7 linked regions of the Ovis aries genome follow. The main gene of each other region encodes a partner of the protein of the gene in region 6 in a complex. Links are inferred from orthologs where the notes say so. Each region holds a gene or a part of one and is shown on either strand. Other genes may lie near its edges. The genes, in order: CASR, RGS8, RGS10, GRM4, RGS2, GNAI3 and TRPC5.

The links.
Region 1: the proteins of GNAI3 (region 6) and CASR are in contact, whole or in part, in a cryo-EM structure (PDB 8SZH), measured with the Homo sapiens proteins. The link is inferred for Ovis aries from reciprocal best matches to the Homo sapiens genes GNAI3 and CASR. Residues at the interface, in NP_006487.1 of Homo sapiens: Ala31, Lys32, Gln304, Glu308, Lys314, Asp315, Thr316, Lys317, Glu318, Ile319, Tyr320, Thr321, Phe334, Asp337, Ala338, Thr340, Asp341, Ile343, Ile344, Lys345, Asn347, Leu348, Glu350, Cys351, Gly352, Leu353, Tyr354; in NP_000379.3 of Homo sapiens: Lys644, Ala645, Asn647, Arg701, Val702, Val705, Phe706, Ala708, Lys709, Pro711, Thr712, Arg716, Trp719, Phe801, Ile869, Val872, Arg873, Thr876, Ala877, Ala880, Phe881, Lys882, Val883, Ala884, Ala885, Arg886.
Region 2: the proteins of GNAI3 (region 6) and RGS8 are in contact, whole or in part, in a crystal structure (PDB 2ODE), measured with the Homo sapiens proteins. The link is inferred for Ovis aries from reciprocal best matches to the Homo sapiens genes GNAI3 and RGS8. Residues at the interface, in NP_006487.1 of Homo sapiens: Glu65, Gln68, Ser75, Val179, Lys180, Thr181, Thr182, Gly183, Ile184, Val185, Gln204, Ser206, Glu207, Lys209, Lys210, His213, Ala235, Glu236, Asp237, Glu238; in NP_001095920.1 of Homo sapiens: Thr76, Glu77, Phe78, Ser79, Glu81, Asn82, Ala117, Pro118, Glu120, Val121, Asn122, Ile123, Asp124, Phe125, Gln126, Arg128, Leu153, Lys156, Asp157, Ser158, Arg161, Arg164.
Region 3: the proteins of GNAI3 (region 6) and RGS10 are in contact, whole or in part, in a crystal structure (PDB 2IHB), measured with the Homo sapiens proteins. The link is inferred for Ovis aries from reciprocal best matches to the Homo sapiens genes GNAI3 and RGS10. Residues at the interface, in NP_006487.1 of Homo sapiens: Val71, Val72, Ser75, Glu115, Val179, Lys180, Thr181, Thr182, Gly183, Ile184, Val185, Gln204, Ser206, Glu207, Lys209, Lys210, His213, Ala235, Glu236; in NP_001005339.1 of Homo sapiens: Glu62, Phe63, Ser64, Glu66, Asn67, Ala102, Ser103, Ser104, Gln105, Val106, Asn107, Val108, Glu109, Gly110, Leu137, Lys139, Tyr140, Asp141, Ser142, Arg145.
Region 4: the proteins of GNAI3 (region 6) and GRM4 are in contact, whole or in part, in a cryo-EM structure (PDB 8JD6), measured with the Homo sapiens proteins. The link is inferred for Ovis aries from reciprocal best matches to the Homo sapiens genes GNAI3 and GRM4. Residues at the interface, in NP_006487.1 of Homo sapiens: Ala31, Lys32, Val34, Lys192, Asp193, Leu194, Thr219, Phe336, Thr340, Ile343, Ile344, Asn347, Leu348, Cys351, Gly352, Leu353, Tyr354; in NP_000832.1 of Homo sapiens: Pro616, Lys619, Ala620, Gly622, Arg623, Glu624, Arg676, Ile677, Ile680, Phe681, Gln683, Gly684, Lys685, Arg686, Ser687, Val688, Ser689, Ala690, Ile694, Ser695, Pro696, Phe781.
Region 5: the proteins of GNAI3 (region 6) and RGS2 are in contact, whole or in part, in a crystal structure (PDB 2V4Z), measured with the Homo sapiens proteins. The link is inferred for Ovis aries from reciprocal best matches to the Homo sapiens genes GNAI3 and RGS2. Residues at the interface, in NP_006487.1 of Homo sapiens: Val179, Lys180, Thr181, Thr182, Gly183, Ile184, Val185, Gln204, Ser206, Glu207, Lys209, Lys210, His213, Ala235, Glu236, Asp237, Glu238; in NP_002914.1 of Homo sapiens: Glu104, Phe105, Glu108, Asn109, Glu143, Ala144, Pro145, Glu147, Ile148, Asn149, Asp151, Phe152, Leu180, Asn183, Ser185, Arg188.
Region 7: the proteins of GNAI3 (region 6) and TRPC5 are in contact, whole or in part, in a cryo-EM structure (PDB 8GVX), measured with the Homo sapiens proteins. The link is inferred for Ovis aries from reciprocal best matches to the Homo sapiens genes GNAI3 and TRPC5. Residues at the interface, in NP_006487.1 of Homo sapiens: Arg205, Arg208, Lys209, Trp211, Ile212, His213, Phe215, Glu216, Glu245, Leu249, Ser252, Asn256, Lys257, Trp258, Arg312; in NP_036603.1 of Homo sapiens: Thr27, Glu32, Glu33, Glu56, Ile57, Tyr58, Tyr59, Asn60, Lys125, Pro128, Thr129, Leu130, Met131.

What each region holds. Positions count from the first base shown.
Region 1 is NC_056054.1:187,548,634-187,552,268, reverse strand, and holds part of CASR (extracellular calcium-sensing receptor), read right to left. Parts: intron 3,381-3,635; 5' UTR 3,145-3,380; coding exon 2,957-3,144; intron 532-2,956; coding exon 225-531; intron 1-224. UniProt on the Homo sapiens protein: G-protein-coupled receptor that senses changes in the extracellular concentration of calcium ions and plays a key role in maintaining calcium homeostasis.
Region 2 is NC_056065.1:63,188,996-63,193,059, reverse strand, and holds the start of RGS8 (regulator of G-protein signaling 8), read left to right. Parts: upstream 1-1,223; 5' UTR 1,224-1,448; intron 1,449-4,064. UniProt on the Homo sapiens protein: Regulates G protein-coupled receptor signaling cascades, including signaling via muscarinic acetylcholine receptor CHRM2 and dopamine receptor DRD2.
Region 3 is NC_056075.1:39,197,942-39,202,155, reverse strand, and holds the start of RGS10 (regulator of G-protein signaling 10), read left to right. Parts: upstream 1-1,381; 5' UTR 1,382-1,460; coding exon of another isoform or gene 1,461-1,509; intron 1,510-4,214. UniProt on the Homo sapiens protein: Regulates G protein-coupled receptor signaling cascades, including signaling downstream of the muscarinic acetylcholine receptor CHRM2.
Region 4 is NC_056073.1:8,389,719-8,393,353, forward strand, and holds part of GRM4 (metabotropic glutamate receptor 4), read right to left. Parts: intron 1,724-3,635; 5' UTR 1,349-1,723; coding exon 830-1,348; intron 1-829.
Region 5 is NC_056065.1:11,623,121-11,627,553, forward strand, and holds the start of RGS2 (regulator of G-protein signaling 2), read right to left. Parts: upstream 2,929-4,433; 5' UTR 2,900-2,928; coding exon 2,790-2,899; intron 1,773-2,789; coding exon 1,671-1,772; intron 1,570-1,670; coding exon 1,508-1,569; intron 942-1,507; coding exon 775-941; intron 494-774; coding exon 299-493; 3' UTR 1-298. UniProt on the Homo sapiens protein: Regulates G protein-coupled receptor signaling cascades. Inhibits signal transduction by increasing the GTPase activity of G protein alpha subunits, thereby driving them into their inactive GDP-bound form.
Region 6 is NC_056054.1:86,826,946-86,830,580, reverse strand, and holds part of GNAI3 (guanine nucleotide-binding protein G(i) subunit alpha-3), read right to left. Parts: intron 2,146-3,635; coding exon 1,955-2,145; 3' UTR 1,933-1,954; intron 1,842-1,932; 3' UTR 1-1,841. UniProt on the Homo sapiens protein: Heterotrimeric guanine nucleotide-binding proteins (G proteins) function as transducers downstream of G protein-coupled receptors (GPCRs) in numerous signaling cascades.
Region 7 is NC_056080.1:122,884,171-122,888,268, reverse strand, and holds the start of TRPC5 (short transient receptor potential channel 5), read right to left. Parts: upstream 2,810-4,098; 5' UTR 2,680-2,809; intron 1-2,679. UniProt on the Homo sapiens protein: Forms a receptor-activated non-selective calcium permeant cation channel. Mediates calcium-dependent phosphatidylserine externalization and apoptosis in neurons via its association with PLSCR1.

The sequences.
Region 1 (3,635 bases), about 100 Mb from region 6:
TTTGAAAGAATTTTGGAAGAATTGTGAAGGTCTAGTAGACATTGGTGGGGTCTCAGAAATCCCCAGTGGTCATAATACAGATAATTAAAAGATCTTTGGTGCCAAAGTAAAGCCAGAGAAAGGAAAATAGAACAGCAAACTGTATCAACACTGGGTGTGGCATCCTCCAAGCCTGCTGCTCCTGATTCCTGCCCTCATTGCCCCATCTAAGGCAGCATGGGTACCTGGGGGATGTAGAAGAGCCCCAGCAGGTTGGCCACTGCTGTGGAGATGCCTGAGCCAGTAGCTCCCACCACTGCGATGGTAGAGGGGATGTGCTCTGAGCAGTTGCAGAACTCATCAAGGTTCAAAGAGTCGATTTTATTCTGCGCCACAAAACTCAGGGTGGCCTCCAAGGCTTTAGAGACGGTGTTACAAGTGTCGAATATCCTGTATCCCAGGGTCATGTTGGGAAGAAGGGCTGGACTGCTGTTTATTTCCTCTATGGCAAATATCATAGCTTGTAACCAGCGAAATCCTCGGAAATTATACCTGGAAGAAAGAAGAAATGGAAGAAAGCAAGAGGCTTTCTGGTCAACTTTTTTAGAGTACAAACCGGGCAAAGCTGGGTTTGAACCTGGCTCTGTAACTCTAATTTCATGACATTGCCTTTTCTGAGACTCAAAGTCCTCTCTGTAAAACAGGGATAACACCTACCTCAGAGGGAGGCTGTGAATATGAGATAACGACACAAAATTCTCAGTGTGGTGCCTCACACAAAGTTAGAGATCAATAATAACAAGGATTGTGGTAATAGAATGAATCACTTTTTATGCATCATCCAGTAAAGAATCTGAAGTACCTGATATGAAGTATTTCAATAACAGTACTACAGAGATTTAAAAAAAAGGATCAGGGAAAATATAAATAGGTTAGGATTTTAACTCATAGGAACCTAAAACTAGTTTCAGATTTGCAGTCACAAATTTGAACTATGACATTTCTGGAGGCTGAAGGGGAAAGAGAAATGAGTGATCTCATCTTCATAAACAAACAAGCAAACAAACAAATACTATGCGTAGGAAGCTGTTCACAAACAGTGGTCACTTCTGGGTGGTAGAATGATGAGTTTTAACATTGTGTGCTTTTTCTGGTCTCTTTCATACTTTGTATTTTTAAAAATGAGCATGCACTGCTTTTCAAAGAACATTATTTTAAATAAAAATCAGGCAAATGAACAAAGAGAAACAGGGTCTGTGACATAGCTTTTGCCCTCCCAGGACACAGCACATAGTGAGAACTTGGTAAGTGTTCTAGGTCTGTATCAGCGCCCAGAGAAGAAAACCTAACAATTTTGCAGGTTCTCTCTTTGTATTGTGGGTTTCATGACTTGAACTCAGGGGCAGGGGGAAAGAAATATAAGTTGTTATACTTCACTGTATCAGTTAGCTTCCCAAAGTTCCTGGTCTAACTTTTAATGTGACATTTTCTCTTAGTAATATTTGTTCATATATCCTTCATTTGTTTATTTTTAAACCTGGAAAGTTATGAAGACATATTATAGAATTTTTCATTACACAAAACATCTATACTGCTCAACTGATTTTCCTATCTTTGTGTGTGAGTGTGTGTGTGTCTGTGCACATGTGTGCTCTGTTGCTCAGTAATGTGTGATTCTTTGCTGCCCCATGGACCTCTGTCCATGGAATTTTCCAGGCAAGAATACTGGTGTGGGTTGCCATTTCCTTCTCCAATCTTTCTTTAATACAATTAATATATACGTATTACTTCAGGGCAAGCTCTTATGTGATCTCAGCTATGTATGTGGTGCCTGCACAACTCTGTCCTGTAGGGTACAACAGAGAGGATATATGTCCTCATGGATTATGTGAAGGTTATAAGCAGCATCGTCAAAACTCTGCACTTAGCTTTTCTGCACTCATTAAAAAAATGTGAGAATGTTATCTAATTTGTGAACCCTCCTTAGAACATGAGCAGAAAACCAGTTTTGCTGGAACAATTATATTTTTCGTTTTCATTTTCTATCTATCAGAAAGACAAAGGAGAAGTGCTGGATCCCATCTGGAAGTTGTAAGTTTCAAGAGAAAGTGCTCTTCTCTCTCAGAAGACGGGTCAAGGCTTGAGGTGTAGTAACGGTCTCTGATGTTCAGATTAAGGGTGGTGATATACAGCCTACTGTCCTCTGGAGAAGTCAGACACTATTTGAAGGAATTGTGCCCAGTGTTAGATGCCAGAAGAGGAGTCATGATAAATTAGGGAACATTAGACACAGGGCAACCAGAGTGGTGAGGGTCTGAAAATCATGCCATGAAATAATTATTTAGAAAACCGAGACTGGTAGGTCTGGAAAAGAAATGATTCAAGAGGGCATGTTAGCTGTCTTCTAGTGGCTGCAGATAGAGTCCATGCAGGAGTTAGATGGATTCTGTGTCAGCAGGAGGATTTCAGCTTTCTATAAAACTTTCTGATAGGAGTGGTTCCAAATGCTATGGGCTGCATTTTGAAGATGCCTGGGTCATGCCAGTCACTAAAGCTTCTTTCAACTTTAAAATCCTTAAAAAAATCAGAGTGAGGCAGCCAACACTCAATTATGACCACTGGGGGCACTTAAGGTCAATGGGAGGTTTTACTACTCAGGTTTGCAAAAACCTACAATAAATTTCTTTCTAGGTACTTAATCTTCCATTAAGCAACACTGCCTCCAGGTGAACAGTGATGACTCAGTTACCCAGTGACTGAGCACAGGCTCCAACAGCCAATGGGTTTTTCTATTTAATATCTTTGACATTTGATTTTTGGAAAAATTTCTTTTAAAAAAATGAGGGGAGGGGATAATAAGCATCAGCATGATGACTAATCACCATTTTTGAAAAGAGAACCAACTTTGAAAAAATTATTTTGGGTTTGGTACAGCTTTTCTCTAACCACCCAGAGGAGAAGCAACTTCTGACTTTACCTGATACACTCCACGGACTCCGGCCTCGACTTTAGATCCTGATCTTTCGCTGCAACCCCAAAATGAATAGGAAAGAGCCCCCCGAGGATAATGTCCCCTTTCTTCTGGGCTCGCTGGTCAGGCCCATAGGCGGAAGTGCACCAGGTAGAAAAAGCCAAGAGGATCCAACAGCAGCTATAAAGTGCCATAGTTCTGCTTTCTCTCCAGGGAGAGGGACACGAGTGCCGGTGGTCTGGGGCCCCCTGAGGACTTTTCCCCTTGGTGCGACTCACTCCCTGCAGTGGGGGCACATGTCTACAGAATTAATAGAATGGAACCGTGGTGTTTGAATTTCCATTTCTGCCTTCTCCATTGCAGACTAGTGAGGTGGGTGGCTCTTGAGTCTTCAGAAGTCACATCATGCAGAGACCGTGCGTAGTACTTTCTAAAAAAGAGAGAGGAAAAATGAATTCAACTAAGCCTCAACCCCATGTTAGGATGACTGCAACAGAAATGGCTCAGTATTTCCATTTAGAGAGGCAGGTGGGGAGGGCATGGCTTAGAGGCTCATGTTTATGGCAATTCTTGTAAGATACAGAAAACTTCGCTTGCCCATATTCAGAGCAGAACCATGTTTAAAGAGGCCACTGATAAACTAAAGCTCCACTGATGTTGCCACTGAATTTTAATCTATTCATTC
Region 2 (4,064 bases), on a different chromosome or scaffold from region 6:
TGTCTGACGCTGCAGTGAACCGGTTGGTGATCATGATGGATCACAGTGACACTGTCCTAACGAGAGCAGCTGTCCCCTGGGGGTCATCTGGGGCGGCGCTGGTCAGGGCGTGTGGACGCCGGCCTGAAGGAAAGGAACTAGCTTGTAGTGGGAGGACGGGTCCCTGGAAACCTGTCGCAGTTCTTGGCCCCTGCATCCCCCTCCCTGCCCTCCGGAGAAGGTCCTCATCTGAGATCTCTCTCCGTTCATTAGCTGTGCTCATCGAGTCTCCCCAGCTGCACTTCCTCTGGTCTTTTCTGGCTTTGCTGTTTATTTATTTGTTCCCCGTCAGCCTCTTTCTCTGGCTCTGCTTGTAAACAGAGCCGATGACTGTCAGCTCCAGGGCCTATGTGGTGAACCTGGTGCCCCCAAGTGGGGGCAGCAGGTCTCATAGACTCTAGAATCCGATGCCAACGGTTATTTATCCCTGACCCTCAGAAGCTGCTCCAGGCACTGGCCCAAGCTGTCCACAAAGTTTTTCTCCTGATCATCCAAATGGAACTTTACAGACAGAAGCATCACATGACATGTTCTCTCTGTCCCCTCCTAGCCCTCTCTCTTGGTCCTTGTTCTTGCCACCATACCCCCATCACAGGTTGGGCAGCTGACCGGGGGGCACCCAGGCTGGCCTGTGGTGTGGAGTGGCAAATAACACGAAACGTTTCATGCATTACACTCTTCCCTGGCTGATTTTTAATCCTCATTAAGAAAGTTAGAACTGGGCTTCCTCTACCTTGCCCAGCCATCCCAAAGCCAGAGTATCCTTGCTGGTTGGCTATGGCAGGAGAGAGCTCTTTGAGGCTGAGCCTTTGTCTTTTGCATCCATCCCGGTCTGTTTTTGAGGCGAGGCAGGTTCTCCTCTCTCTCCTGAGGCCAGTTACCCTGTTTCACCCCCTTCCCTGCTGTGCAACCCTGGGGGACCACCTCTGCCTCCACTTCCACCCTCAGACCCCTGGGGGCTCTGCTTCTCCCTGCCTTCTGCAGCGCACTGGCCCCTCGGAGGCAGCTGCCAGTGAGCTCGCTGTCAGCAGGAGAGCCTCATAGGCAGTGCCATTCTGCTCGAGTCTGCGGTCCTCCCCCGACTCTGCGTGGCAGCGCGCATCATCTGTCAGAGTGCCCCCTCCCCTCCCTCCGCTTCCCCACCCCCTTCCCCTGGCGCTTGCCGCCTTCCCGGTTCATGAGATGCAAAGCCCGTCAGGCGGGTGAGGAGCCAGCAGGAGCCGCATGTTACAGCCGCCCTGCTAGGGGTACCCCCCCAACTCGCGGAGGTGAGGTGAGCCGCCCCTCGGCAGCCCTCTCCCATGTACCAGGAAGTGGATGACTCGGTCACTCTGGGCTTCACTGAGCCATGCCCAGCTGGTACCGGCGCCAGCCAAACCTTCCCAGCTGCACTGCCCTTCACCAGACAGGTAAGAGAGAGCTGCTGTTCCAGCCGGGCGAGAGGGTCCCCGAACTGGCCCTCCCCAGCCGGCCATCCTGAGCCATGAGTCTTGCTGGGAAGTGCAGGGCACTCCAGTGCAGAAAAGGCGCTGTCTGCCTGTCATAACCCTACCATCCCATTTTCTAACAGAGCTCCTTAGACAGACTGGGTTAAGCCAGTCACTCTTGCCAGGAGCAAGGGTGCAGGAACATGCCCATTCTTCCTGGTCAGTGGGTGCTAAGCTGCCAATATCCTGTTTTTGTTCTTTCTCCTCCCCTGAAACCTCCTTTCTGGTCCAAGGGGACGCAGTATCTCCCCGCAGATCCCTTCGGGGGCTCTGTGATTATGGTAGATTGCTGCCTGGACCGTGACACTGTTTCTGTTCGTTTCATTCATGTCTTTGCTGTTGTGTTCGGCGGATCGCCGGCACAGCAGTCTGGCTGCCCACAGCATCTGTTCTGTTTCCAGACAGCGTGCAGGTCCCCTGTGCTGCTGGTGACTAATGCTGGTGACACATTCTGATGCAGGAGAACTCACGATCACAGTGGGTTCAAGGGAGATCAAAGTACATCGGAGGTCACTGATTTTTTTGCGTTTTCAGCTTTATTGAGATGTAGTGACAGATAACATTGTAATATGTTTAAAGTGCCCAATGGGATGATTTGATACATGTATGCATTCTGAAAGGACTCCCACCATCGAGTTAATTAACACATCCGCTGGCAGGTCACCAACTTCTAGTTTCAAATATTTTCCCACATTTTTATTATTGCATATAATGTTGGAAGAATATCATAGAGTTTTGTTCACATTCCGGATTGTTTTCTTAGACATAGTCTTAAAATGAGACTTTCTGGGATGGTCTTTTTTTTTTTTTAACTGATACAAGTGACATCTAACATCGTTTTGGTTTCAGGTTACAGTGTAATAATCTGATATATGCATGTATTATGCAAAGATCACTGCAGTTAAGTCCAGTTAACTTCCATCACCACACGTAGCTGCAATTGTTTTTTTTAGGAGAGGGCAGGTCACCAATTTCTAAGCAGTGAGTTGAGGACAGAGTAAACGTCTATAGGAGGTGTTTTCTTGGCATCAGCTTCTCAGAGCTGTCTAGGGGGGCGTGGAGGAGAGCGGCTTTTCTCTGTGCTAGAGTCATTCCATCTCAGCCTATTGTTTCACTCCACACTTAAAACCTGGCTGAAGGTCCTTATAGGTGTTTATCTTGGGATGCTTTCAAACTAATGAAATAGGAAGGAAAGCCTACCCCTTCCTGCAACTTGGGTTATTTTTGGATTATTTGTTCCCACAGTTTTGGAAAACTCCAGGTGTTTTGGGGAAGATGCAGGAGGTGCTGGAAAGTGGGGGAGTGAGATTACCGTTATCGAGAGAGTATCTACGTGCTTGGGGGAAAGTTCAAAGCTCTAACTGGCAATGTGTTATTATGCTGATGATGGCTTTTACTTTTAGTTTGGGAATGGTATCCCTGTGAGCACTCAGTCAGTCTGGCAAACTGTTTTTATTAACCATTTGCTCTTTGCTCAGTCCTTAAAATAGGTGTCCTAGTAGAAGATTGATGGGAGAGGGGTGAATGGGGATTGGAGAGTGTTGGGTGACCCCTAGTCCACCGTGGCCTGGCCGAGGTAAGCTGCTCCTGGAGACCCTGTTATTTTGGCATTAAAATTTTTTCTCACACAGTGCTTTATGCACAAAGGAATCTTAAAACTTTCTCATGTTCTTTGTCCATTTGAATTAGACTTTCGCTTGAAGCCAAGGTCTTTCTCCTATGGATCAGTGAGCTTCAACCACAAGAGTCATTTCACAAATGCCAGGGACTCCCAAGGGATTGAGTAAGAGGTAGATGGTTGGCTGCACAAGATCCATCATATTACCATTTAAAAAATCCTCCAAATGTGGGTCTCAGGGATGAGTCAGCAGTAGCAGCAGTACTGAATGTGATGCAATGTTGTATAGAGTGGAAAAAGCCCTGGGGGTCCTGGGTTCGAGTCTCCCTAGGGTCATTAATTGAATTACCCTGTGCCCTTCACTCAGGGATCCTGTACAGCTTTGTTTTTATCATCTGTAAAATGGGTACAATAACAAGGGCCCAACTTACCTCCAAAAGTTTTTATGAGAATCAACTAAAAAATGATGATAGCTGCTGGTTATCAAGATGTGCTGGGCAACTTTACTAGGTATTTTCCTTACATGATGCTGTTTAATCCTTCCAACTTCCCTAAAACTTAGTCTCCAGGAGCTTAAGAAACCTGATCAGCTAAAGAAGTGAAAGCAATTTTTAGGTTTTGGCAGTGCCATACAAATATAAGTTTTGTTGTGTATCACGACTTCATGGCTTAGGATATTTATCCTGCTAATCCTTTCCTAGGCTCTCCCGTCCCATATGCTTGCTCATTTCATTTCTGTCCAAATACTTACAGCTCCAGAGCCACTAGAAACGCTCCTTGCTTTTCCTGTCTTGAAAATTAGAATACCTTTCACTGTTCAAGAAGCATCAACATTCTCACCAGAACCTTTATCAGGACCTTTATTCTCTGTTTGGAATTTCCAAAAAGCTTTTGAATCCTTCAATAAAAGGTCCTAAAAA
Region 3 (4,214 bases), on a different chromosome or scaffold from region 6:
AGAAGCAGCCATAGAAGGCCAGAGACAGGGTGGGATTGGGACCGAACCGGTGGGTGGAGGGAGGGAGGAAAAATAAGCGGAATGGGAAGCTGAGAACAGAAGATATAAAAGAAAGTGCCAACTAGTGAAAATCTTGAGAAAGGATGGTTGGAGGGGGGACCGACGACTGGGCAGCAGTTGAGAAAAATAGCAATTAGTACTGCTAAAAATAAAGACCAATTTAGAGACAAAGCCAGATACACAGGAGGAAAATAGGACTGCCAGAAAGACAATTCCTCGTAAACCAGATCCTCAAGAAAGTGAGGCTAATGATACCCCTTCTCGGGATGTTTTGCAGAAGAAATGAGACGATAGATTTGAGTGGAGCTGGCCACGCAGAGCAGGTGACCGGCGGCGGGAAAGGAGGAATCAGAAGCAGGGCTCAGTGTGGCCCGAGTGATTTCCAGGGTTGATCGCTAAGGCCCTGCCGACAGGTGCACCACGTGAGCGGCGCCCCAAGTTAGGGTCTCCCGCCAGCCGGCGTGACGGGCAGAGGCATCGCTCAGCGCTGAGACCGGAGGGGGTCCTACGGAATTCTCCCGAGGTCGGCCCTTGGAGCCTCAAGACCAAGGGCAGGAGGCGCCCAAATTTCGGTGCCCGCGCAGCGCGGCCCGGGAGAGGGCGCCCACCCGCGCGGGCTCGGCTCGCTTCGCCCGCGGACATCGCGGCCCGGGGCCAGGCGACGCTCCCGCTGGCTTTCGCGGCCGTGGGAGGGCCCAACTCCCATGGTGTCGGGTAGGCCGGGGAGCGCAGGAATCCTGGAACCCGAGGGCAAGAGGGCGAAGGCCGTGGGTTGCACCTGGGCTTTGCAGAACCACGAGATCTCGGCTTTCCGGTCTCGGAACCAGGAGGTGACCCTCACCTGCCGCCCAGCAAAAGCGCGCGGAATCACCAGGCGCAGGGCGCCGGAGGATCTGCGCCCGTTTCTCGGGGCTGCAGGAAAACGGCTGGAGGCCGGGACGGGCGCTGGAGCTGGGAGCCGGGCAGGGCTGGGCGGGGCTCGGGCGGCATCCCTGGAGAACCCCGCCAGGCGGCGAGGGATCCCCGGGACGCGCGAACCGCCAGGGCAAGGCTCCTAAGTCTCGGGCAGCGCGGGCCACTTCCGAGCGAGTGCGCGCCTTCTTGGGCTCTTGGCCGGGCTCTTGGACTCCCGGCGTTTGGGAGTCACCCGGGTGCGCCCTGCCCGCCCAGGCACCCCGGGGCGGGACCACGGGGGCCCCACGGGGGCGGGCCGGTAGGGCGCACTGATCGCGCCACGCGGCGCTTGGCCCGGCGGAGGGCGGCAGGGTGGGGGCTGCGCGCTCCGGGGCGGTGCTGAGCCAGCTCCTCCTCCTCCTCTGGCCTCCTCCTCCTCGCCTTCCTCCGGCTCAGCCGCCGCGCAGCCCGGCTGCTCCTCCTTCCTCCCCGGGGTGCTCGCGGCGATGTTTAACCGCGCTGTGAGTCGACTGAGCAGGAAGCGGCCGCCGTCAGGTAAGCGGTTTCCAGGGCTCCGCGGGCTGGGGATTGGGGAGCCCCCAGGGGCCAGGATGAGCCGACCGGGCCGGTGCTGCCTGCCCCACCCCCCGGGCATCCTTCCCTCCTGCCCGGGGTCGGGCGCGGCTCAGCGATGCCCCGGGCAGGACGCGCCACTTCTCCCTGCTCTGTCCAGCGTCCCCGCGGTCCCAGCCGCGGCGGGAGCGCTGAGTCCCGAGACGCGCGCTGGGGAGGAAGTTTGTCTGAAAGGAGGAACATCAGCCGTTTTCTTTTTAGTGATGGTCTGGGAGAAAAAGGAGATCCAAAACACCTCCAGACTTTGGAGGTAGTATGGGCTCTAGATTCCGAAAGCAGAACCGAGTTCTGGAGGTCTCCGCCTCCGCTGCGGGTGTTGGTGCGCAGCGCGGAGCCCGCGGAAGGAACCCCAGGACCCGGGGGATCCGACTGGGCGGCCTGGCCTGGGTTGCTGGGCGTCTTCGGTTCTGCGCCGAGGAGCCGAAATGTAGGGCGGAGAAGGACGGTGAATACCAGGTGAAGGGCGCATCTGCAGCTCGCGCCAGGAAACAACAGACGTTACAAAGGATTCAGTTTGGCCGTCACTCTGGACCAGCCTGTCACTCTGGACCAACCACAGTTCGGAGCGATTCGATAGGACGAAGAGCTCGTGGTGAAGATGAAACCATCCCTTGATTCCAACCATCTCACCCTTTTTGTTCCTTGCAGCTCAGCCCCTTTTAGCGCTCCAAGTGGGACCCAGTACGTGTTCTGTGAATTCTCTCTTCACCCTTAGGGCAACCCACTGAGATAGGCATTGTCCTCAGCCCTCGCCACCAGGGAGCTGTTAGGTAACTTGCTCCAAGTCACACTTAGGTGGTGGAGAATCTTTCAAACGCAGCTCAGCCTGACTCTGGAGTTCAGAGGCTTTTCTGCCACCTCCCACTCCAAGAGTCGCTTCTGCTGGTACCAAGAGAGTCTGTACATGTTGGCCCCTATCTTTTTTTCACCTCGTGTCTTATTTTATGAGACTGTGGTTAAGAGGATGAGTTGAAAGCAGATCGACTGAGTCCAAGTCCCCCCTCCACTACTAGGCACACTGCTGCTGCTGCTAAGTCGCTTCAGTCGTGTCCAACTCTGTGAGACCCCAGAGACGGCAGCCCACCAGGCACCCCCGTCCCTGGGATTCCCCAGGCAAGAACACTGGAGTGGGTTGCCATTTCCTTCTCCAATGCGTACATGCATGTTAAGTCGCTTCATTTGTGTCTGACTCTATGCGATCCCGTGGACAGCAGCCCACCAGGCTCCTCTGTCCACGGGATTCTCCAGGCAAGAATTATCGGAGTGGGTTGCCATTTCCTTCTCCAACTGGGGGCACTATCTCTGTTCAGACAAGGATCTGCATAATGGCAATAAAATACCGCTCCTTAAACGCTGAATTGAAACTGCTTTCCCTTCCATCATATTTTGCAAATTATTCCCTCTAATATTGAGAACAACTCAAAGTAGGACTCCACAGAGTTACTGTAAATTGCTTATATTAGTGTTAGTATTAGGGGTCATGTAAACCTTTCTGTGTTGCCTGTGAGTCAAAGGATTTCCCTGTTGGGTGTTTGCTTTGAAAGTGATAGTCACTCAGTTGTGTCCGACTTTGCGACCCCATAGACTGTAGCCCACCAGGCTTCTCTGTGCATAGAATTCTCCAGGCAAGAATGCTGGACTGGGTAGTCATTTTTTTTCTCCAAGGGATCTTCCCGACCCAGGGATCAAACCCAGGTCTCCTGCATTGCAAGCAGATTCTTTACTGTCTGAACTGTTCGAGTTAGCCATTCCCTATTGTTGGATGTTCACAGGCCGAAGGAGTGGTGGTCAGAGCTTGGACTCGGAAGTTACTTACACCCCTGGTTCCTACCCTGACCCTAGCATTCAGCTGCCTTGAGCAAGTTACTTGACCTCAGAGCCCATTGCTAAATGGGAAATTTGGAACCTGGTTGCTAAACCATAGGTAGCTCGAAATTGGCTATTAGTGGCCATTTCCACCATGGAAATCAGCAAATGTTAAAAATCACGTTTTCTTTTTAAATCTTTTTATTCTAGGAAAGCTGGTTTACCAGCATACTTATGTGTCCATTTTCCCATCTGTACAGTGGGTTTCATAGAATTGTGGAACCAAACATACAAAAGCATATATATAATATAATATTATATATATGTATATATGTATATATATATATATATATATATATATATATATATATATATGAAGTCTCCAGTACAGTGCCTGGCATAACTGAGTATAATGGTTAGCTGTTACCTTTTCCCCCTTTTTCCTATCATAAATAGAGCTGCTTTGAACATCCCTGCACAGGTCGCTTTTGGGGTGAGGTCTTCCAAATAGAACAAATGAATTATGGATCACACATAGTTTTAGGGTGCTATTGCATATGTGCAGATTGTACCCCGGAAAGACTAGGGCAGTTTTAGGAATACCAGTGAAGTGTACCTCTTTCAGAGTAACACATTTTAAGGCTGATGAAATGTGGTTGGATCACTGATAGAAAGATCAATAGCTAAAAATCGTGGACTGGTGTTAAGTGTCTGGCTTCCAGGAGCCTGATTTCTTTATGATTTTTAGGTTTAACGTCCGTCTCTGGATAGGAAAGGACAAACGAGCCTCTGCAAGTTTGGTCATTACCACCCAGCAGTGA
Region 4 (3,635 bases), on a different chromosome or scaffold from region 6:
CCGGTAGCTTTCAGTTGTTTTAGCAGCTTAGCGAAGCACTTGGCTCCAATTGAATTGCAAATCAGCAGCTCCTGCCCCTGGAAGAGAGGAAGGGGGGCGGCAGAGAGGGGGCAGGGAGGGACTCCAGAAGGGAGAAAGGTGTGCAAGGAAGAGGGGCAGAAGGAAAGGAATGAGCCGGGGAAGCTCCGTTGGGGACCCAGGGCACCAGAGATGGGACCACCCGTTCCTCCAGGCCTTTCTTGTCCGCAGCTCCAGTCACTGTGGGCTGAGAGCTAATGCCTCCTGCAAAAAACCAGGACACATTTTCTAACTATAATCCTGAGGTGGAGCGGGAGGGCCACACGGGGCTTTCTCAACTACCCAGAGGAAAAAAACAGATCTTTCTTGGGAATTGCAATTATTGGAAAACAATGTCAAAACAAAAGTCTTGCTTTTTCTCCCTGGCAATCTCCAACATTCACACTTCCAGTCTATGTCTATCTTTTAACCTGTGTACCTTTCTATCTACCTATATTTCTGTCCATCCATCTGTCTGGGGCTTTTTTTATACCTCTGTCCGCCTGTCTCCTCCTCCCTCCTGTTGTTCAGCAGCACTTCCTTTCCCTCCTGGTTCAGAATTCCCCGCAGAGGAGCAGAGCTGATCAAAAGGCTGCCTGCAGCAGGTGCTGTTTCAGCACCACGGCCAGCTCCACTGAGCTGGGACCTTCTCTCAGACCACAGGCAAGTCAGCCCCAGATTCTCACACACCAATGTGGGTATTGGGGAGCAACACACTCTCTCCCTGGGATTCAGGAGGAGAAGAGGAGAAAGGAGCTGGGCAGGCACTAACCTTGAAGAGGCGAAGGATGTTGGCCACCATGATGGAGACGGAACTCCCGGAAGCACCAATGACGCCCACCACGCGCTCAGGTTTGGTGATGATGGGCGGGCCACCACTGCCACAGCGGACCTCCGTGCCGTCCTTCTCGATGAGCGCCTGCACAAAGGTCAGCGACTGCTCCAGGGCATGGGTGTCCCTGGAGCAGGTGTCCAGAATGCGGGCGCCCAGCGTGATGTTGGGCAGCAGGTCCGGGTCATTGTTGATGCGGTCCAGAGCAAACAGCATGGCCTCCAGCCGGTGGATGCCCTTCTCCTTCTTGAGTTCTCCACAGGCCTTGCCCTCCGAGCCCCGGCCGTGCACTGGGAACAGGCCTCCCAGAGTGATGTCCCCGTCTATGCGGATGGAATTCATGTGAGGGTGGCCTTTGGGCTTCCCCAGGGAGGAGGGCACCCAGGGCCCGGAAAGGCTGAGGAGCAGGCAAAGGGGCAGCTGGGCCCACCACCAGCCCCAGCCCCTCTTCCCAGGCATCTCGGAAATCCCTAGAGACCCATGAATGGCAGGCCTCGCTCCTAGCCTTGGCGGGCCCCAGGCCCCACGGCCTGGACGAGCATGGGCACAGCGGCCCCCACTGGTCTCTCCAGGGCAGCTTCAGCAGCAGGGTGGCTGAGGGCGGCCAACGGGCAGAACCGTGCTGGTGTACCTCGGCCCCCGGCGACGCTCAGTTGTGGGACAGGCTGCACTCGGACAGCAGGGAGTAGCTGGGGTGCAGCAAAGCTCTGATCTTGGTCCCCACTTCCTGCAGGCCTCTTCTCAGTGGATGACCGTGAAAGGTGGAGAGTGCTCCTAGCTGGGCAGATCTTGGCATCAGGGAGAAAACAGCTCCAGAGCTCTCCTCTTACCAACCTGAGAAAGAGAGAGAGAGAATCAGAGAAGCCAGAGAAGACATTAGCTATTCGCATCTTTCATCAGGAGCCTGGGAGCAGGAGATGCTGGAGGTTGTGGGCAAAGACACCACAGACCTCCTGAACTTGGCTTCCTCTCCACTGCCGCTCGACTTTGGTGCAGATGAGAGAACTTAAGGCAGAAACTGGGTCATGTCTGAAGGTTCCTGGTGCCCACTGCCGCCAGACCAGAGGCCTCAGAGAATATACCCCCAGGGGACCCCCGGAGACCTAGGAAGAAGAGGGGTCTCCTCTCAACAGGAACCCACAGGAAGGAGCAAGCACGCAAAAACCGGCCCCGCTGGACACAACCCATTTCAGAGATGGGAACACTGAGGCCCGAAGCAGGAGAGCACTTGGCCCAAGTTACACAGGGGGCGAACAGCAGAACACTGCCTGAAACCCAATGCCCGGCCCCCAGTTCTGGAACCAGACACACAGGCTCCTTGAGGACTCGGAAATGAGGAAAGAAAGCAGGGCCTCAGAAGAAGTCAGGCTGAGAGCCGCTTAGTCTGAAGGCCAAGAGAAGCTGGGGCTGGTGGAGCTGGGGGGGGTGGACCCTCCATTTCTGCCCCAGGCGCCCTGCTACCCCACCAGAGGGTCAACGCAGCGGAGGCTCTTTTTCTCTTGCTGGGCCCCCCGCCCACCCCAGGGGTCTTTATACCTCTCCATTTCTCTTCACCACTTCCTCCCTCTAAGAGCAGGCTCAGGTTCTGGCCTGAGCTAGTGCACATTATTACGATGACCGTCATTATTATTGTTGTTGTGATTAAATATTTATCTGCGAGGGGAGAGGAGAGAACACCAGCTCTTCCTCATTCTCATTGCTAATCTGGGCTAATTTCCCCAGGGCTTCCTTCCCAGGGCCCAGCCTTCCCTCGGTGCCAGCAACTTCCCTCCCCTCGACTTGGGAGGCCTCGGGGAGAAAGGCTGAAAGCTGAGTCAGGGCGGGGTCCGGGGTGGGGGGCGACCTCAAGGCCCCCTTCCCTGTGCATCCGTCAAATGAAGACCAGCAGCCGCTTGCCTGATCTGTACCTCGGTCTCCCCACCCGTGTGAAAGAGCCTGTGTTTGGGTTGGGAGGCTTCTCTGGAGACGTGGTCCCTCCGTGAAGACCAAGTTGGGGCTCAGAGCCACCATCCCCACCAGAGGCTCCCAGGGCTCTGGAAAGGGCAGGGAAGCATGGGAGACCGCCCCCCAGGATCCAGCCTTGGCTCCTGGGCTTCTCCAGCAAGCGCCTTCTGGACGCTCACCTCACATCTCGCCCCTCATCCAAATGCTGCCCCCTCCATTAACTCCTCAGAGGCCAAGAGGAGGGCTCGTAATTCTCCTCAGCAGCCTTCTGCAGGTGAAGCAGTCTCCCAGAGGGACCAGGTGACTCCCCACTCAAGGCGGGTGAGGGCTCAGATCCAGCACCTGTCACACCGAGAGCGCCTGGGGAGGCCGGCAGGAAGCCAGGACCCAGTGACCTAGGGCTGGGGGTCAGCGCTCTGGGGAGGGCTGAAGATCTGTCAAAATACAGGCGAGGGGCAGCTACACCTGTGCGGACCCCTCAAGAGCACTCACACCTCCATGAGAGTTATCTGAGGCCTCTCCCAGGTAGCTCTGGGGAGTGAGGGGTGCTGTGGGGTGCTGGCTGCCAAGGCCGGTTCTAGGCAATTCCAACAAGAAAGAACAGGAGTCCCGGACCAGCCTGCAGTTCCACTGCTGCCCTGCTGGAGGCCACGCTTGTCCCCCAGGGAGTCCTCAGTTTCAACATCTGTAAAATGGATGGGCTGGAGTAAGATGCAGTCCGGAGGCCATCCTGGCCCTGCGGGGGCATTTCAGTCATCACCATGAAGGGAGGGAGTCACCTACTAGCCTGCATCCAGTCAGG
Region 5 (4,433 bases), on a different chromosome or scaffold from region 6:
GTGTTACATCGTTATCTTTCAGTCTCAAGCTCCTGCTTTTCCAGCATGAGACACACCACATTTAGACCACACTCTCTCTCTCTGTGCTCCATCAGTTACGGAAGCCGACCCAGTACCAGCTTCTCCTACGAGGCGACCAGCTTCCTGATTCACTACCCAGCTCTGAATCAATAGTTCTGAGTGATGTTTCCTGAACACCCAGGCTGAATTCAAGGTCAGTCTTTTTGGCAGGTGACAGCCTTTCCCCTTTTAGGAAAAAAAATGAAAAGTCCTCCGTTTCTGGGCTCCTGCTTTCATCTCATGTGGCATGGGGTTCTGTGGTGATCTGCGGCTTTTTACACAAGTCCTGGTAGAATTCTGACTCCAAGAAACGCGGGTAAGAGTTGTTTTCCATCAAGCTGTACACCCTTTTCTGGGCAGTTGTGAAGCAGCCACTGGTAGCTTCCTGTATGTTTTGGGCAATCAGAGTTTTGGTTTGAAAGTCTATGTTGATCTGAAAGAAAACAACAAAGTTTTATTCCACATTAAGAGTCAGAAGTTGAAATATATGTAGTATTTGAAAACAAACAAAAAAACCCCCAAACTATAATGTGTGGCCAGTGTCACCGGCTAAGTCAGTGAAGAAATATAATTAACCTCACTGAGAGCCAGAAATAGGGGAAAAACAGCCTACTCACCCACCCCCCTTTAACTTGAGGTCTCTTTAAATTATTTTCACTTTGGTGCTGAGGATGTTCAAAATATGCTGAAATAAGGAACTTTTTCCCCCTTTACCTCTTTTGGAGCTTCTTTTTCTATGAAGTCAGTATATATTTTCTTTGCTTTTGAGGACAGCTTTTGGGGTGACTTGGTTTTTTTGAAGTCTTCACAGGCCAGCCAGAATTCAATATTTTCTTCACAGTATTCAGATTTTAAAAAAGCCCTGAATGCAGCAAGACCATCTGGGGGAGGGAAGGAAGAAAGCATGCAGAAACTGCATTGAGTGTTCAAATATTCCCTTATGTGTTTTCCTAGAAATCCCACTCCCCTGGTCCCATATTTTATTATTGCCAGATGGCAGCAATTTTCTTGAGTTTACTCAAACCTGTAATTGTCAAAATTTAGCTCTTTAAAGACTAAGATGCCAGTCAGCAAAATGCGTGAGTTGGCACACTACTACAAAAATATAAACTTAGCTTTGCTGTTAACACAACTGATAGGGGAGCCATAAGTTCTTTGGGAATGAAGCCGCTTGAAAACATTGTTTGCAATGGAAAAGCTGACTCAACCTTAAGAGACAGCAACTGCCATTACAATCTGGGGCTATTTCCCCCCACTCCCCACCTAGAGTGAAAAAGCCACGCATTTCCCTGGTTAATCACCGGGAAATAAAGGAGAAAAATAGGCCCCATGGAACAGGGATTGTAAAGTCAAACTCTCCTTGGGCAAGCTGCTCTTGCTGTGTAGACACAACCAAACCATACTCTCCTGATACTTGAAATGGATCCAATTCAAGAGGTTAACTTACATTTACTGGCTAGCAGCTCATCAAATGCTTCTGACCATAGCTGGGCTTCCTCGGGAGAAGGCCTGCAAAAGAAGTCTGCACATCAGCTCCTGCTAGCCAGAGGTTCCCTCTTCAGCTCAGCAGTGAGCTGTGCATATTGGCAAGCACAAGATTTTCAACTTACTTGATGAAGGTTTGCTGTTTGCTTTTCTTGCCAGTTTTGGGCTTCCCAGGAGAGGAGGAATTTTGCAAGAAGTAGCTCAAACGGCTCTTCCAATCTTTTAATCTACAAAAGAAAAAAAAAAAAGATACTCACTTAGCAGCAACACTTGAAACTGCCATTGCAGCTGAAGGCATTTTTACCAAATAAAGTCGCCCCCAGTAGCTATAGACAAGCCAAATAAGACAAAACAACTCCTCCAGTCAGTCTTACTCCTTTAATCCAGCATCTAAGTACTCAACACACTAGTTTCATCCACTCATCTGAACATAATTATTAGTTTTATAAGTAAGGATAGGACGACCTACAATTATAGGGTATTTTAATGAATTTAGTTTGCATAGTTCAAAGGCAGATGCTATTTCTGGCCCACAAAAGGCAGCCAGTTTTTCTGCAACGGTTAATTACAATTCTGAGACATTTCACACTTGAGGAAGCCCACAGTGGACCTGCCCTGAGCCAGCCCAGGCTCGTTTTCCTTCTGCTCTCAGAGCAGGGGGCTTGGGACCACCCGAGAAGCTGTGCACAATGAAGTGTGTGTGCGAGATTGACCGCCCCCTCCCCCAACTTCAGCACTCATTTTAAGAAGGTGATGCAGAACAATTATTTGTTCCACACTCTTGAGTGGGTGAGACTTGCTGTTCAATTAAAAAAAATTAAAAGTATATCTAGGATCAGCAAAAATATCTCCATCCCAGCAGTCGTGTAAGCAGATCAGAATTTACGGTGCCTCTCAAGAAGGCCGGGGGCGCGTGGCTGCAGGATTCTCCGAAGTCATTTTCGATGCAGGGAGACAAAAAGCCAACCAGCATCTATCTCCGCCCCTGCATCAAGAATTTTCTGCAGTTTCTAAACTCTACCCGAGTCCTTCAATAAATACCTACACCACACAGGTTTAAACGTAACTTCACAAATTAACCTTTTACACACACACACACATTTTTTCTTTTTCTTTTTTTCCTGCAGAGATGCAGGCAGGCTACCCAGTTCCCATGCCCAGCGCGAGTGTACCGCGTTTGCAGCCGCCCGGGACAGCTGGGTCCGCAGGGGCGGCCAGTCAGGGAGGAAGAAAGCCGCACTCACAGGGTTCGCTTCATCTTCTCTCGCTTCTCCTCGTTCTTGGGGCCGGTGCCAGCGCCTTTGTCCATGGGTCCGCAGTCGTGCTGGACAGCCAGGAACATAGCACTTTGCATTATCTCCCTCCACCTGGGAACGCCGCTCTGGGGAGACCGGACCGCCGGCACCCGTATTTATATAATTGGAGGCAGGGCGAAGGCGGGGCTCACGGCGCCGGTCCCTCCCCCGGCGGGCACCGATTGGCCGACGGCGGCCGCGGGCCGCGCGGTCACGGGCGCCGCCGAAGGGTCTGGAAACCCGGGGCCCGCTGACGTCCGCTTCCCGGGCGTCGTGCGCAGTCGGGCCGGACGCCCGCCCTCGTGTGGGGTCAGAGAAAATTCCCTTTTGAACGGTCAAAGGCGACCTTTGCCCAGTCGTGGCGGCCGGCCGTGGGGTCGCAGGGCCGTGGCGGGCAGGGAGCCAGGTTGGCTGCAGGCACGGCGGGGGCGCTCGCTCCCCGCCTCTTCCCTGTCTCATTCCCTCCCCCGCGCTCCAGAGCTCCTGACCCCCAAAGGAGCCGTGATTCCAAGCAGGTAAAGGTTGTTTATTGGGAAGCCGAATGCAGTAACCTTATTTTGAATTAGGTTTAAAAGGGGATGTGTTTTTGGAGCGCAAGCCCTCGCTCCGCGCCTCCTTTCTTGATGTGAGAACTGACCCTCACCTGTTCTTTGAGACGCCTTTTAATTTGGGGAAGGAAACAGAATGGGAGGAACAGTGAGAGTCCAGGGGCAGTGGTGTGATCTGTTCTGCAGCGTGCCCAAGCATCCTGGAGCTCTGTGGGGAATGCACATTGGTCAGGGAGGGAAGAGGAGAAAGTGCTTTAACTGGGTGTGCGGTTTTGATTACCAGCAGGTTCGTGGCTGGGTCGGTCCGTGGGGTTGCAGACTTATTTCTCAGGAGTCCTTGGCTGCTTCTCCTTCCAGAACAAAAAAAGAAATCACAGCTCTTAACAAGGAAACACCACGAGCTCGCAGCTATCGTGCACCAGAATCATTTTAGTGTAAAAGAGCAAGCATGCAGGATTTCCTCCTGAGTCACTCTTAGTTGGCTTAGAATTTGCCAGAACACTTTAATTGGCAAAAAAAGAGAGATGGGGGTGGAGGGAGGGAGGCGTTTACAGCTTCTTTGAATAAGCTTAATGTCTTGATTCGTCAGAAATCATCTTGCTGTAGCAGGATTTAAGTGGTTTGATTGGTAAGGGTAAGTAGATAACTGCCACTCCAAAATGACTTGAGTTCAAATACCGTTATTAGAATTGTACAGTGGAATATTCAGGTGGTTTTTCCTGAAGCATCTAAGTAGGCAGATTAACAGCAAGGCTTTTGTTCTGTCCCTAAGTCATTTCTGACTGCAGTCGCATGGGCTGCAACTTGCCAGGCTTCCCTGTTCTTCATCTCCTGGTGTTTGCTCAAACTCATGTCCCTTGAGTCTGTGATGCCATCTAACCATCTCATTCTCTGCCACCCTCTTCTCCTGCCCTCAATCTTTCCCAGCATCAGAGTCTTTCCCAGTCAGTCTGCTCCTGGCATCAGCTGGCCAAAGTATTGGAGCTTCAGCATCAGTCCTTCCAATGAATACTGAGGGTTCATTTCCTTAAGGATTGACGGGTTT
Region 6 (3,635 bases):
TCACCAATTGAAGCTGATAATTTTCTTTCTTTTAGATCCAGTTTTGCCAATTCTAAAAAAAAAAAGTTGTTAGATAATACAGTTATACCACCTGCAGAGTTGTAATTTTCCCAAGAAAGCAAAAAGAAAAAAACCTACCAATAAAGGCACTGAACTGCTGTGGCTTGCTTTCTGAACCAGCTTTGATGACCACCAACCTTTTTTTAAAACTACTGAAAGGTCACATCAAAAGATGAAATAGAATCCAATCCAAAAAGACTGGACCCCAAAAGGCACTACTCAAATTACTGATTTGGAATGCTCAAACTGCATTCTCTTCATCTGCCTTCCCCTAATGGACCATTCAATATTTAATGCCATTTGCAGTACACTGCACAAAAGGACCTGCAGGCTGACGTGAAAAGAGCTCTTCACAAAACCAAAATGTAAATCTGGAAAATGGGTTTTGACTGTGCATCACTTATACAGATATGACATAACAACCTCAGTCAGGCCAAGATTCAACAATACTTATACACCAAAAGACTTAAGACCTTCAGAGAACCCTTCTACCTAAACCCATTCTCAGACAAAGGCCTAAGCACACAGCAGGGGCAAAAAACAGCAGAAGAAAATATTTCCAGAAAGGACTAATTACAAACAGGAACAAACCTGGACTCTTTACTCACCATTTTAATACTGCTGTCAACTATAACAGATTAAAAATCTGTACACACGACAAAGTAGAAAAAAGTCCCCAAATCAATAGTTTCAGCAAAACAAGGTACTGACTAAAGATTACTACAATCAACATTGCTACAGTAAAAAAAACAATGGCAAACAGGGATTTGGCACCACATTTACAAAGTAAAAGCATGCACTTTTTAATACACTTCAGATGTTTCTCAACAGAAAAGGCCAATGGAAGATGGAAAACATGGGGCATCTTTTACAGAACTCCCTATGACTGAGACAAACAAGCAAGAATCAAAGTGATCAATTTAGCAGATATGCAGCAGCAAAGTCACTGGTTCTGTTTGGAATTTAGCAATATACTTTTCTAATTGACAGCTGCCCTGGGTGTGTCTGTATCCAAGAAGCTGACTTTATCATACTACATCAGCATTTATCTCGTAATTTGGTGATAAGCATAAACTAGGTTAACCTTCAACCACAAGCTTAAAAAAAAAAGAGACAGAGCTTGAATCTTACTATAGACTTCTTCAATGTAACTGCCATTTAGAAACCATAATGGTACTCTGAGCAGGATAGTAACATAAATTTCAACCAAAAAACCTATAATTAGAGCCCAAATAACTGAAAAGAATTAAGTTATTATGGAAATATTATATTCTGACCATACCTAGAGTTAAAAACAAAGTGTTCCTACTAAGAGAAATATTTTCAAGATGATCTGGTCACATCATGTGCATAGTTAAGATTGTGTTTTAATAAAGGTTCTTTCACAAAAAAATAAAATTCAGTGAAGTTATTCTTCCCTTAATGAAAAAAAAAAACTTGAAAAAATGAACTACTGGTGGTTTGTCAAGAGGGAAGAAGAAAAACAGTAAGCTACATATTGAAGTTCTGGAATGCAGCACCTCAACTTCACATCTGCCCTAAACGTTTGAGACTATGAAATCCAAGTCATGTCTCGATGATCAAATCATACTACAGTTGCTCCAATTCCAATGTCTGACTTTAGCATCTTGTGTCAATTAAGAGTTCCCTAATACAGAAGATTGTGCTAAAAGAGTGCTAGGATTCTGCATGCTGCTGCCATTCCCTGGTCCCGTTCATGCTTGCAGCTGCCCAATGAGGCAGCAAAGGAAGTCTGGTCTCAACACTCCACACCGTAATAACTAGAAAAGAAAAACAGCTGTAATTAGGAAAAGTTTACAAAGTCAAGAGACATCACTAACAGCACTATAACTAAACCTTTCAAAGTTTTACCTTTTATTAACATCCACACTCTTCAATAAAGTCCACATTCCTTTAAGTTGTTTTTAATGATGACATCTGTTACAGCATCAAAAACAAACTGCACATTCTTGGTGTCTGTGGCACAGGTGAAGTGGGTATAGATCTCCTTGGTATCTTTTCTTCTATTCAGATCTTCAAACTGGCACTGAATGTACGCAGCTGCTTCTTCATATGTGTTGGAACCTGAGGCAGACACCCAATATTCTTAGTTCAAATTATAACAGCTGCCTGAACTCAATTAAATCAGGCCATCACCATTTACTTATGGAGAGAGGGACTATAACCCAATTGAAATAAAGATTCCTATTTTTCTATAATCATTAGGTTTTTCTATAATCACATGTTTCTTGAGTGCACAATCTCATTGTCAGTAAACTTATCACAAAGATCCAGGAAAACAAAGCTTTTTTCCTTTTTCCCTTTTATTTGCCTTTTTTAGCTAAAAAATTTAGAAAGTATAAAAAGAAACTAGGGAAATAGAAGGATGCATTTCTAGAAGAACACAATTGCTTAAAAAGTTAAGAGAACTTGTGTTCCTTGGGTCATGTTGAAATAAACAATTCAAAAGGGTAACTCATGCTTCTTTTCAAAATCATCCAGTTTTAACAGAGCTTAGCCTCAGAGCCTTACAGCAATAGTTTAAATAACCAAAGGTAATCAGTAGATGCAAATGGGAAGGGGCTTGAATCGCACACTTTTAAGTGGTGCGTTTTATGGTACGTGAAGATCTCAATAAATCTGTTATTTCTTCAAAGAGGGGGTTATCCAAAGTAACCCTATTTCAACAACATTTGAAATTAACACTCTTAATCACTTGCTTCCGAAACAATCTTGTTTACTTGTGAGTTTTTAGAATAGCTTTAGAAATTGGCTACAGAGCCAGGGAAACTCAACAAAGACAACACACAGTTGCCTGAGAATTAGGGGCTATTTTCAGTGACATTAAGCATGACCCAAAAAATATCAACAACCAAGTATATAAAGAAGACTAAATAACAAAGGAAAGCTTAAGAAAAAAATGACTATTATTTAAACAATATTTTAAAAGAGGAAGGAAGATAGCTTGGTAGGTGGTTGAATAAGATTTACTGAGATGTACAGAACTTCTGTAAATTAAAGCAGCTGCTGTTGTTCAGTCATTCAGTCATTCAGTCATGTCTGACTCTCTGCAACTCCATGGACTACAGCGTGCCAGGCTCCTCTTTCTTCCACTATCTCCTCAAATTAATGTCCACTGAGTCAGTGATGCCATCCAACCATCTTATCCCTCTGTTGCCCCCTTCTCTGGCCCATGAGGAATGCGGAAAGGCAAACATTTAGACAGATGACCAAAACATGATGTGAAAATTCTTACGAATGACAGCAATGGAAAACAGGCTTGGAAATTCATCCCACCCCCTACCAAAAAATGGATAAGATATTGACAACTCTTTGCTGTGTGTGAAGATTCCCAGCTGAAACATTAACATCAATCCTTTACTTGTCTTAAAATTTTTCTCCCATTCTAAAATCTGGCTACCTTTTATAAACTTAACCAACTCTCATCTTCCTCCTGGTGGCTCAGAGGTTAAAGCGTCTGCCTGCAATGCGGGAGGCCTGGGTTCGAACCCTGGGTCGGGAAGTTCCCCTGGAGAAGGAAATGGCAACCCACTCCAGTATTCTTGCCTGGTGAA
Region 7 (4,098 bases), on a different chromosome or scaffold from region 6:
TGAATGGTTTTGTGTACTTAGCTGAAAACAAGAAGCTTTGGCAGAAGTAAAGCAGACAGAAATGTTTTTGTCCCTCTGTTTCAGTGATGGAGCCATGGTCAAGACAACTTAAAATATTTGGAAGCAGACTGGAGGGCAATAGAATGACATGTTTGAAATTATCCATTCAATAATTAAGCACCTGAATGGCTCATAGATTGGAATTTAATATGCTAATGAGTGGAATGAGACGGTAAAAGTGTAAATTTACTCCGGGGCTCCCGTTCTCAGGTTCTATGTAATTCTGTTTTACAGTGTTTACAAGGTAAACCATAGGCTAGGCAATGTTAGGGTGCTTCACTTCCTAAGCAGTGTTTTGGACTAACCCCATCCCCTGCCAAAGCAAAAGAAAGCAAACATCTGGATGGTTTTCTTTCCGTGTTTCAAAACATCTTTGGGTTCTGTCCTATCCTTTTCCTCTTCATCCCCACTGCATCTGTCATTTTCTGGCCTGGCCTTCTCTAAGCACTGTGGTTCTGTGTGTCATTCTCGTTCTGGTTGTTAATTCTAGAAAGAATAGAATTGTAGGAATATAGTTCTCAATCCTGGTAGAAATGGCAAATGTTATCTGGTCCAGGTCTCTATATTGGTGTATACACTATAGCTAGGGGAATGTCTGTCAATACAGCTGAAGACTGCCTGGTTCTGGATCCCCACGCTTTACACCTCCTTATGCCCTGAGGAACCATGGATCAGGATCCACTGCAGCAACCAGATTTTCAACCAAGAGAGACCCACACCTTCGGTGTCATTCCTGTTGACACTTTCAATTCTTTCCCTACCAGGAAGCTGCTGATTCTTTCCTACCTGTCTGCAACCTGGTCTTTGCTATTTATGGGAAAGTGTAATTTTAACCTATGAAGATATTTGCTTATGATGGCCTAAAAAAGTAACAGAATGGGCACCTTTTCAGATCCTACTTGAATAATCCTTGTTCTGTTCTCTTTCTCAGCAGTGAGCATTAGAACAAATTGCCTGACGCAACATAAACAGTTCCACTTAATGCAAAATCTGTTTCTCTCATTTGCTGAGTTGGAAAGGGGTAATTCATTGTATTCCAGTAACATAATGATAAATAGACAGTTTAACAGAAGAGCCTGGATGCTTTGGAAGCACAAATTCAAATACTCCCCCCTCGGCTACAGCAGCATACAGCCCAGATTGTATGGGGTTGATCTGAGTCCTTGAAAAAATACACACATACCATATGTATTACAACTTTATGAAAGCAGCGCCACACACACTCTATCTATCTATCTATCTATCTATGCCAGAACTTCGTGAAAACAGCATCTTCCAGGAACCAAACAGATTTCATGTGGCATTCAGGTTTTCCTTCAACCTTGCAAATAGAGAAACCTTGTGGGTTTTCTTTATCCTAGGCTAAACATTTGCTTTGAGACCAACTTGGTACTGTGTGAATGTATTTCCATGTCTTTGATTTAGAATAAGCAAATGTTAAAGACTGGGTGAAAGGTACCATTTAACATCATTTATATCACAGCTTTTTAAGAGTCTATAGGAAAAGAAACATGATATAATCCCAAACACCAACATCTGTAAAACACCAAAAAAAAAACCAAAAAACACAAAACCCTGAGACTGACAATAGACAAGGACGAATTCTAAGATGTAAACTTTACATATCTGCTAAATGCCATGAAAATAAATGTATAGAAATAGACAAGTGGATCTGAGTGCCATGTCAGTGGAGTAAATATTTCTCATTTGAAGCCAGGGCTGACACACACAGTCTTTAAGGGGTGCATTATTGATTAGCCTGTCTCTTCTACTCATATGATAAACTCAGGTAAAGTTCAGAAATCCTGTCTTCCCAACTGGTTTCCTAGCACCAGGCTTTTCACAAGGGAGTAATAACCTTGGTAGCCATCACCAACCACATACCTGATTATGGCCAGAAGACCCCAGGTTGGCAAAGGGGAGAAAGCCCTTCTCCCAGTTTCATTCTTAGAGACCATGGAGAAAGATCAGGATCTGTGAATACAGCTCAGTACCTATGTGTGTGTTGAAGAGGGGGACCATCATGACTGTTTGTCCAAGTCAGTGTGTGTTTGGGGGGAGGGGTGTCTACTTTGAGCAGAGATCTGACTGATGTCTCCCCATTTGTATTTCCTGATTCCTTTAAGGAGCCAGGAAAATGAATCTGGCCATTTCGTAAGTAAGTTTGATGGATACAAAACAGAAAGAAGGTGAATGGGGGCTCTGATTCCTGAGCCCTCATGAGCTCACCCCTGGCTTTCCACATCTTAAAGTGGCTTTTGGCAAAAGGGCCAGTGTCTTTATTCCATTCCTGTCTCTCGGGTCGATACTGATCTCAGATCACTGTCCGGGGTAGAGACAAGCTGATTTAGAGGAACATCCCAAATAAACACAACGTTTTTGGTCACTGTCAAGAGCCACCTTGTCCTAACACCTCTAGAGTCCCACCATATCTTTCTCCCTGTGTCCGAAAACAATCTGTTGCTGGCTTCGCTCTGCCCCCCACCACCCCAGCCCACAGCCAGCTAGCACCTCCCAGCCCTCAGCATCCCTGCACCTTCATTCAATCCCGCACCTCGCTGCCTTTTGGCAGCGCTCCGGCAGCAAAGCCATAAGGCTCTGGGCTGCCTGTTGACTTACCCCAGACCAAGTGGTTTGTTCAGATCCCCGTCGTCTGGCGTCTGGAAGCCAAGGAGCTCGGTGCGGCCACCTTACCGGTTCTCCCTCGGCGCGCCAACAGCAGCCGCCTGGGACAGCCCAGCCTGGCCTCGAGGCTGCCTGGCGGGTGGGCGGATGAGCACAGGGAAAGGGGCGGGGTGTGGCGAGGCGCGCAAGTGCCCGCTCCTAGCGTGGTTTCTCCCTTCGCTTTTCAGTCATTCCCAAACTTCCCAGTGGCTGGCCATCTCTGCTCACCTTTCGCCTTCGTCAGCACCCCGAAACTCTTTGCTCTACTCGTGCCCCTGCCTTGTCCCCGCTAGCTTCTCCCGGCTCGCTGACCCAACCTGGGTGCCTTCAAACACACGCACCCCCTTCACGCAGCGTACTGCACAGTGAGAGCACGGGAAGAAACTGACACGGGAAACTGACAGAGATAGCTGACGCGGGAGTATGAAGGAGACAGAAAAGACATAGGAAGAGACAGAGACCAGCATTCGCACTCTGACATGCACAAACGCATACTCCTGCGCCAGCTGCTAGGTACTGGCTGGCGGGAGCCCCGGTCACCCTTCCGAATCTTTCTAGACTAGAGGTTTCTGTCCCCTTCTGCTGCCGCTTCTGAAAAATGCTATACAACGAAGGGGGAGAGAGAGAAGCAAAGAGGGGTGGGGAGGTAAAATCGAGGAGGCGCGCTCCTGTTCTCCTCCCCACCCCAGCTCCAAAAATGTCCAACCCTGAGCTCTTCCTTTTCGCTTCTATCTGCTCCTGGCTTTCCTCTGCTCCTTTTCTTTTTCCTCTCCTTTGGGTGGCTGCAAGCTGGAAGAACCCGTCGCGATTGGGGGCGGGGGTGTGGGGTGGGGTGGGGGAGACTGCCGCTGTTGGTGAAAGCACCTCTCACCTCCCCCAGTCCGGACCTGGAGCCTCACACAGTCTGAGCTCAAGGCAGGGGCGGGCGGGGCGGGGCGGGGGAAGCGGGCAGGGGGGAGGGAAGGAGGGAGAGGGAGGATGGGGCAGCCTGCAGGGGCAGCAGCTCCTGCTTCTCTGCAACTCGGTAGCCAGGGGTGGAAGGAAGCCGCAGCCGAAACCCCAAGGCAGCCCCGGCGCTGCCCTGTCCCACCGTCTCATCTCTCCCCCCTCGGTACGGAATTTTCTGTTTCCTTCGTTTGCTCTTCCCCGGGCCTCCCCTCCCCTGGGTGGTGGCAGAGTCTGGGTGGCTGAGCGTGGTGGTTTTCGGTAGAGGGGACTGGACTGGAGCACCTCAGAACGCCTGGCTGGCAGAGTCTTTCTTTGCCCCCTTGTCCTGAGTGCCCCTACTTTGGACTGTGACCCCCAACCCCTACCCCGCTCAACCTGGGCTCTGAGCCGGCAGGCGGTGGCGGGGCTGCGCGGGCAGCCACGGGT